2 linked regions of the Arabidopsis thaliana genome follow. The protein of the gene in region 2 interacts with the protein of the main gene of each other region in a biochemical or structural test. Each region holds a gene or a part of one and is shown on either strand. Other genes may lie near its edges. The genes, in order: ACT1 and ANN5.

Region 1 (5,293 bases), on a different chromosome or scaffold from region 2:
GTTGCAAGGCCTCCCTCGGTAACTTTGACATTATCGCCTTCCACAGTGGCTGCAGCTGCGCCTCAACCGCCAATCCCGTGGCTGCAGCAGCAACAGCCTGAGAGAGCAGAGAACGGTCCAGGGGGACTTGTGTTAGGGAGTATGATGCCGTCTTGTAGTGGGAGTAGCGAGAGTGTGTTCTTGTCAGAGCTTGTGGAGTGTTGTAGAGAGTTGGAGGAAGGGCACCGAGCTTGGGCAGACCATAAGAAAGAGGCTGCATGGAGGCTAAGAAGGCTGGAGCTGCAGCTAGAGTCAGAGAAGACGTGTAGACAAAGGGAGAAGATGGAGGAGATTGAGGCAAAGATGAAAGCTCTTAGGGAAGAGCAGAAGAACGCAATGGAGAAGATCGAAGGAGAGTACAGAGAACAGCTCGTTGGTTTGAGGCGAGACGCAGAGGCCAAAGACCAGAAACTGGCTGATCAATGGACCTCTAGGCATATCAGACTCACCAAGTTTCTTGAACAACAAATGGGTTGCAGATTAGACCGCCCCTGAACCGTCTCCTAAACTCTTTGTTGTAACTTGTAATGTAATGTAAGGTTTTTTTTTTGTTTTTTTTTGTTTTTTTTTGTCTTTGATCATTTGGGTGTCTCCAATGTTTACTTAGACTTTTGGGTTCCTTACCTCAGCTTTGTATTTGTTTCTTTTACCTTTGTGTTCCATTTATCACTTCAGTTTATCCATGGCTTTGTTTTCTCAAGCTTGATGTTGATTTAGTCAGCTGCAACACTTTGGTTTATAAATAAAATCGATTTATATCTTTACATGTGTAAATTCAAGTAGAAGACAGAAAACAAATTGTTACATAATAATTGAAAAATTGAAGAGGAAGAGGTGTGTACTTATTCACTCAAAAACACAGTTGCATTAGATTTTAAACCATACTACAAACAGATTACCATAAATCCATGAAAATGTATTTGGCATGAATTTCAAAACATAAGAGAACAAAAACAAAGAGCAGAATAACGGAAGATTAAAAACCCGGCTTGAGAAATGGTCGGAAAAACCCTGGCGGTGCTTCTTCTCTGAAAAATGATCAACTTTGAACTCAGAAGCACTTCCTGTGAACAATCGATGGACCTGACTCGTCATACTCTGCCTTTGCGATCCACATCTGCACAAGGTAACACATAGTTTCAGAATTGAACCAGTTTAGTTAAGCTGAGAGTGATTAGGATTTAGTTTAGGTCTGTTTAGAGTAAACAAGTGATGGGACTGTGTGTACCTGCTGGAAGGTACTGAGGGAGGCCAAGATGGACCCTCCAATCCAGACAGAGTATTTCCTCTCTGGAGGGGCAACGACTTTGATCTTCATGCTGCTTGGAGCCAAAGCAGTGATCTCTTTGCTCATTCTGTCGGCGATTCCAGGGAACATTGTGGTTCCACCACTGAGCACAATGTTACCGTACAAGTCCTTCCTGATGTCGACATCACACTTCATTATGGAGTTATAGGTGGTTTCATGGATACCAGCATTCTCCATACCAATCATAGATGGCTGGTAAAGAACCTCAGGACAACGGAATCGCTCTGATCCAATGGTGATCACTTGCCCATCAGGTAGCTCGTAGTTCTTCTCAACAGATGAGCTGGTTTTGGCTGTCTCGAGTTCCTGCTCGTAGTCAAGAGCAATGTAGCAAAGCTTCTCCTTTATGTCTCTGACAATTTCACGCTCTGCTGTGGTGGTGAAAGAGTAACCACGCTCGGTTAGGATCTTCATCAGCGCATCCGTGAGGTCACGACCAGCAAGATCAAGACGTAGGATAGCATGTGGAAGTGCATACCCCTCATAGATAGGAACAGTGTGGCTCACACCATCTCCAGAGTCGAGCACAATACCTGCACATCCACAATTCAAGAAAGGCTTTACGTTTTGCTCTGCAAAAATGTACAAAGATCGAAGCTTTACACCATAAGGACACAAAAGCGCTACACTCACCGGTAGTACGACCACTGGCATAAAGAGAAAGAACAGCCTGAATAGCCACATACATAGCAGGGGCATTGAAAGTCTCAAACATGATTTGAGTCATCTTCTCACGATTAGCTTTCGGGTTAAGCGGTGCCTCGGTAAGTAGAATAGGATGTTCCTCAGGAGCAACACGGAGCTCATTGTAGAAAGTGTGATGCCAAATCTTCTCCATGTCATCCCAATTGTTGACAATTCCATGCTCAATAGGGTACTTGAGAGTTAAAATACCTCGTTTGGATTGAGCTTCATCGCCAACATAAGCATCCTTTTGCCCCATCCCAACCATCACACCGGTGTGACGAGGACGACCCACAATACTAGGAAACACAGCTCTAGGTGCATCATCCCCAGCAAAACCAGCCTATTCCAATACAAAAGAACATCATCATCTTAAACAAAAAAAAACAAATGCTACATTGTTCAGAGGATCATCAATCAAAAATTGAAAAAAAGATGAAAACTTTTGTCAAAAAAAACAGAGAGAAAGAATGACACACCTTAACCATTCCAGTTCCATTGTCGCAAACAAGAGGTTGAATGTCTTCACCATCAGCCATTTTCTTCTACCTTTATGCAAAACCAAACATTGTTTAAAGATCAAATTTTTATCAACAAATAACAATCCTTTTTCACCAATACAGATACAAAGAACAATCCTTTTTCAAAGACAAATCAATACAGGACAAAATGGAAGAAGAAGAAGGATATTCTGGATCCAGAATCATGTAAATATTATAAAATTCAATCAGAAAAATTATATTAAAGACATTTGAAAAACATGAGTCTTTTGGTTGATTAAACAAATAACAAATGGTGTAATGAACATACGCATGAGTAAAATCGATAAACAACAGATCGAAAAGATTAGCTCAAGACACCCAGATCCAAAAGAAACTCAGAAACGGATGAATTGAAATCGATGCGGGATCAAAAATCAAACGTAATTGGGGTGTGTGTTCGAAAATCACAACAAAGGGTCTCAAAAAGTACCTGAAATCGAGAGGAAAAAAAGTAGAGATAGAAAAGTTTGTAGTGGCTGGAAAATGAAAGAGGGGAAGAAGAAGAAGGGAGGAGGAGGAAGGAAGGATTGAAGGAGAAGGGAATGGGAGGAGTAAATATAAAAACGGGTCCAAAGGCTTCGACTTCGGCTCACCTTGTTTTCCGGTTCTATATTTCATTTCAAATCCAGTCCCCCAAAACAATAACAACTTGAAATGACGGTTTTACCCTTTTATTTTTGAAAAATATTTTTGTAACTATCAATTTTCTGTAAAGGCTATAAAACCTCATAAACCAGACTCCATCAAATCGGAGTAAATAAACAATTCATTTATTTTTTTTACATAGTAAACAAGAATAAGCAGACCAAAAGTTTTTGGTGGTAGTAGTGTCTACATAAAAAAAATATCAAGGAGTTGCAAACTTGCAACTATATAAGCAATGATAAAAAGCATGCAACTCATGTCGTTGAAAACAAAAAGCATGCATTTCTTATGTGAAAATTTCGCATGGGCTTTACTCACCCAAAATTGGCATTACTTCCGCATGGGCCGAGCATATTTGTTCAATCCACTGGACACAAATATATGATTACCCATTTAAATTTGTGTATAGTTGTAATTACTAATTAGTATACAAATATTACTGTGATTTGTGATAACAAATTGCAACAATGTTAGAAACTTCCAAATATGATTTTGTATAAGGCTATAAGCATTTTACTTACTTATTAAAATTTTAAACTAATCTGCATTTTAATTTATGTTTTCATTTATAGTCTGAAGAAAATAATAATAATTGGCCTTTTTTCCATTAGTGTGACTGCATAAATTATGAAACGATTAAAATACATTTTCATGATATTTATAGCTTATATAAAAAGTTGCTAGAGATTTAGGATTAGTATATGTTGAAAGTAGAATCTCATATCTCACTAAATTATCCCTAGGCTGTTTAAATCTGACATTGAACCAATTTAGTAATGGAATGATTCAATACGACATTTTTTTGAATTTGGACCTCTAATTAATTTGACATTGCTTAGAGACATGTACAAAGAAAATTAATTTTAAAGAGAGCTTTCATAGTGAAGAGTCCATCAATACTTTAAAGATGGTTCACAAGCGTGTATCTGATGTCATTTTCAGTTTTTCACCATCGCCTCCAAGCAAATATGTATTGAAAGGTCATCCACACTTTTAAAAGCTCTATCATGTATTTTCTTAATTTGCTTCCAATTTCACAAGCGATTTCCTATTCTTAAATGAAATAAATATCATGAAATCACCAAAGTTAAGACAAAAAAATGAATAGGGAAGAAAACTTTCTTACATTCATTTCTTAACATTTACACCAAAAAACTTTCTTACATTCAACTAAACAATATTTAGATTTCTTACATAAAATGTTTATCCTAATTATATATATATAGAAGAATACATTTAGTCCGGTTGAGGAAAAATATTTATCTAAACTGATCATAGAAGTCATTAATGTAAAACTATAAGAGTGGGTCTCCTCCTTATAAATACACAAAAGTTATTAGCAATAAGATTAGGTGGTAATAAATATGAGTTAGATACGTAATTAAAGTCTAACGGCAACAAATATATTTTTTTCCTCCTGAGAAGAAAAAAAAGCGCACATGGAGATTGGAAACGTAAAGGCAGATGTCAATTTGGTGCTTAACTTGCGAGAAGCAGAAAGGCATCGGCGATATTTTGATTACTTTATCGACGAGATATTATGGTTATCGTAACGGTATTATGTCGAATAATGTCTCCTTCTCAATGAATCAGAGGGTTTGGTTACGTTATGTATGCCTTTAGACTCTCCTTACCACATCCAACAATACACAACAAACTCGCTCTAATCTCCGACTATAAATAAACCTGAAAAATAATTTAATAAAAAAACAAAAGCTGACAATTTTCTTGATTAATATTCTTTACCACGTTGGATCTATCTACATCGATCAATCATTATTTCTTCTTCTTATTCTTCTCATTCTCTTCTCTCTCTCTATCTAGGAACAAGAGTTTTTTTTTTGGGTGCCATTTCTTGATTTTTATAGATTTTTAGGTATGTCGGAGACGAGCTTGAAAGAGGAAGAGGTAACGTTAGGTGGTGTTAAAGAGACGAGAGAAGAAGAATGTTCCGACGATAAACTTGTGTTGGATATTTGTCTGAAAAGGAAGAGATTAGATGAAGAAGAAGAAGAAGAAGTTGTGGAGGAAGAGAATGATGGGTTCAAGACACCGACTCGTCCGGAGAATAGAA
Region 2 (4,045 bases):
AGATCATTCTACGGATGCCTCTGAACAACTTATGGGACCACTACAATTAGCTAAAGGAGGAAAGTTACTCACCCGAAAATTTGCCAACATTCTTCATGCTCTTCAGGTACTTTTCTCTTTGACATTCACATGAGTTTCTTCGAGGTCGTTAGTGATTAGTTGATATAGTAAATGTCTTGTTAAACGGGCTTCCTTTCATCATATATAATCAAATGCTTATTTCTTCTCTTTTGCTGGATAATAGGTTGTTCAGTTCTACCATTGGAAAGCTTCTGAACTCGTAACTTCTAATGTCGAAAATGACACATTAGAAGAGGTGAAAGCTATGTCCCACTCTCAGTTGGAAACTATCAATGCCCTGAAATCAGTTTTCCTGCTAGATGAGAACCTCGTAGCCACAACTTTTGGATATTCGTGCTCTGGTGAGGATCGAAAGGATTCACTCGACTTGACGGGTATAGCTCTCGCGGTTACCTCTTGGGAAGAGTATAGCTGTAAGTTACTCAAGGAGCTATTATCATCCTTGCCTCAATGGAAAACTTATCAAACTATACACAAAGTGGAATCTGATTAGAAATGAATTCTGAGTTACTGTTGAATTGAGTAGTTAACAACTTGAAAGTGATTCTCTTGGCTTCAAAGAACAGCTTCTCAATTATCTCTTTGTTTGATCTTACACATAATCATGTTATAATATCCTTCAAGATTGTTGCAAGTAATTTTGTAAGATACAGAGAATCAAAGTTAATTTTGGGATTGGATACAGAAAGAGATCTCAAACGTTGGGGCCTAAAAGAGAGAGGAGAAAAGTCCTGTAATGACTAGTTGTATCAGAATGAACAGCATTGTACAAAGTCTTCTTGTATCTCTTACGGTATTCTGTGATGATGAACTGCATATCCACCTCTGCTCTCGTCACCACGATTCTTATCAACGCCGTGTCATCTGTTCCTAATCCTTTCATTGATTTCCTCAATGCCTGCGCTTTCAGTTTTCGTTTTGTAAACTCGAAACCCTACATTGTTGTCTAAGAAAGGTTAGGTTACGTTACCTTTGCGAAATAGAAACAAGAGTTTTCAGCACATTGTAAAATTGTTAGAAGGACATGCTCGAAGTTCCCGCGAGTCTCATCTCTTATGGCCTATCAAGATTGGAGAAAGAGAAGATCAAGATTTTGGAAATTTTCTGATTCTTGAGTAACAAGTTTCTGGATCTTGATTATATACCTTTCCAAGTTCTTTGCCGTACATGGAACGGTAAGTAGATCTTACAGCGACCAAATGAGTCCTGCTTCGGTCAGTGAATATCTGAATCAACGTCTGGTCATCAGATTTATGCTTCCTTGCAACCGCGCTCTTGAGAGTCCTAGCATCGTTCTCTACACTCGCATTATCGATCTCTGGTCCTTCATATCGCGTAGTGTTCAAATACGCGAGCAAAACCTGTTACATATTACAATTTCTATTACTATTTGAACCAAAAGCATGGATCAAATAGAGAAAACATACTCTTTTGTGATTGCCAGAAGCTTCGGATTCGATGTCCTCTTCAAGTTTCACACCGAAAGTGTTTGAGTAGACCTGTTTGATCTGACGAAGCTGAGAGCCAGATCGTGTGCATATAATCTCAGCAATCGCTTTATGATCAGTCACGGCTCCTCTTAAGGAGCGTTTCAGTATTGAAGCGTCTCGCTCCACTGCTTCAGGCATCCACAAAAGAACGGCTTTCTGAAATCAAAAACGTTTTCAAAATGTTGTCTGCTAAAATCATGAATAAAAGTTTTTTTGTAAGGCTAAGATTTATTTACCTTGAGATGACCATGAAGCTCAGAGTGGAGACGTTTTCGGAGGTCATCCGAGAATTTGGTTTCGTATTCTTGTTCGATGAGAGCTCGTTGTGTTGCATTGCGATGAGCTAAGATGTTGATGATCACCGAAGTATCGCAGCCTCTTCCTGCAAATTGCGAAAATATAAACTAAAATGTAACAAAACAAGTTGTTATAAACTACATAAGAAGCGAATGCGTACGTACCTTTGAAGGCCTTAAAGAGTTGGTCAGCATCGACTCGAGGAGAAGGTACCGTCATTGGTATTTTCATTGTTGCCATTTTTTCTTTCTTCCTCTAAAGATTCCGAAGAAGATATTGTAAAACTCTATACCTTTCTTCTTTCTTTTTTTTGTTGTATTCTCTTGATTTTGTTTTTTCTTTTGTTTTGTTGGTGTGGTGTGATTTGTGGCGATTGGGTTTTGGGTTGAAATATGCAAAGGAAATGGACATTAGACCTTGATTTTAGGAGTTGAATCCTCTGTTTCATTCGTGTAACGATGGATGCTTTGATGCATAAAATTTAACGGATAACATTTTTTAGGATCCGATAGATATCTCTATGTTTCATGATTATCATCAACATAAAGACTTTTATAAGAGTTGTGTAGAGTCTGTAGCCTAGTAAAAGGGGGTTTTCGACTTAATTTCGAAACAATGGGCCAAAACTACAAATTATAAAAAGATCTCCTAAGGTTTATTACTTTCCCCAAATGGATGTTGTCACTTTCGGAATCATAATCGGAATTATCATTCTCTTCTTCTGCATCGTCTGCTTCATCACTATTGAAGGCACTCGCTTCAACCGTCGCTCTTCTTAGCTCACTCAGAGATGTCGTTCTCGCTGAGAAAGCTACTGGTTCCGATTCTGGTTTTGGTACTGTTTCTGGATCTGTGCGTTGAATCCGGATTCTCTCAGTCAACGCCGGCGCGTGACGATCACGTGCATCATCACGGTGGTGGGTGTAGTCATTCTCATGACCACGACCACGACCACGATCATGATCATCATGTGAAGAAGACGACGGCGAAGGTGGAGATGAAGTTGCCGGAGGAGCTTGCTGAAGAGGAGGATATGAGATTATGTGGGTTTGGGCCTTGTCTTCATGATCACGATCACGAATCAAGTTCCACTCTTACGGGGTTTGGTAAATTTGGTTCCTTTAGCTACATTCTTCATTGGGTTTTACAAATCATTACTTGATGATTAGAATCTCTTCTTCTTGTTGGTTTTTGTAGCTCTGTGGCTTAATGCATTGGGATGCTCTCTTTTAGTTAGCTTGGCCTCACTCATCTGCCTTGTTTTGCTTCCCATTATGTTTGGTAAGCAATTTTTTGTATACCTATGAAAACCAAAAAGCATTGCTTTTAATTGTCCTGGAGAAAATGCTCTCTTTCGTTTATTCATGTGCTATAATGTGTTCATGAGAGTAACTGTTTCAAGTCTTATGTTGCAACTAACAGTTCAAGGGAAGCCATCAAAATGGTTCGTTGATTCTTTGGCTCTCTTTGGGGTAAGTCATTAGACTGACTACAGTAGCTTTTTCTTTGGCGGTGGTGGTTCTGAATGCAAGAAAAATATTTTAGCAATATCTATACACTGTGTTTCGTCGCAACTTTATCACTTGGATGAGTTGGAAATGTTAATAATATATGATCTGTTGATTCAGTTAATTTGTTTACCAGGCAGGAGCTATGTTGGGAGATGCTTTTCTTCACCAACTGCCCCATGCTTTTGGTACAGTAATGGACACAAGTTTCTGATCTCTTTTTTAGTATCTGCATTGTTTCATAATTTGGCTTTTATGCCTTCTCATTTTGTTTGCTTTTATATCTTCCTGAAGTGCAAAATATATTTATGGTTTGGCAGGTGGTGGCCACTCTCACTCTAATGATCACCATGAGAACCATGACCATCATGATCATTCTCATTCGGATTCGCCTTCACACTCACATTCTATACAAGATTTGTCTGTTGGATTGTCTGTTCTTGGTAAGTATCATAACACTTCCTCTTGTGTTTATTGAACAAAATATTTTGACAGAATTGACACTTTCAATCATCATTCTTAATTATCCAGCTGGGATTGTGGTCTTCCTTCTTGTGGAGAAGTTGGTGCGGTATGTCGAAGAAAACTCATCTGGGTCCAATACTTGGGGTCATCATCACCACCACCACCATGCAGGCAGTAAGAAACTGAAGGATGAAGGCGATCATA

Evidence for each region.
Region 1: the proteins of ANN5 (region 2) and ACT1 form a complex in vitro, tested with the Arabidopsis thaliana proteins (one study listed by BioGRID).

Annotation. Positions count from the first base shown.
Region 1 is NC_003071.7:15,777,039-15,782,331, reverse strand, and holds ACT1 (actin 1), read right to left. Parts: upstream 3,392-5,293; 5' UTR 3,005-3,391; exon of another isoform or gene 2,843-3,004; intron 2,582-2,842; 5' UTR 2,572-2,581; coding exon 2,512-2,571; intron 2,376-2,511; coding exon 1,982-2,375; intron 1,882-1,981; coding exon 1,268-1,881; intron 1,157-1,267; coding exon 1,091-1,156; 3' UTR 771-1,090; downstream 1-770. Other genes in the region: AS1 (myb-like HTH transcriptional regulator family protein), read left to right, coding at 1-534; AT2G37610 (uncharacterized protein), read left to right, coding at 4,659-4,768, 5,088-5,293. UniProt on the Arabidopsis thaliana protein: Actins are highly conserved proteins that are involved in various types of cell motility and are ubiquitously expressed in all eukaryotic cells.
Region 2 is NC_003070.9:25,518,667-25,522,711, forward strand, and holds ANN5 (annexin 5), read right to left. Parts: upstream 2,230-4,045; 5' UTR 2,109-2,229; coding exon 2,033-2,108; intron 1,954-2,032; coding exon 1,808-1,953; intron 1,728-1,807; coding exon 1,509-1,727; intron 1,443-1,508; coding exon 1,227-1,442; intron 1,142-1,226; coding exon 1,052-1,141; coding exon of another isoform or gene 1,043-1,051; exon of another isoform or gene 980-1,042; coding exon 776-979; 3' UTR 639-775; downstream 1-638. Other genes in the region: AT1G68080 (2-oxoglutarate (2OG) and Fe(II)-dependent oxygenase superfamily protein), read left to right, coding at 1-106, 245-574; IAR1 (ZIP metal ion transporter family), read left to right, coding at 2,659-2,974, 3,066-3,149, 3,291-3,340, 3,513-3,564, 3,697-3,819, 3,908-4,045.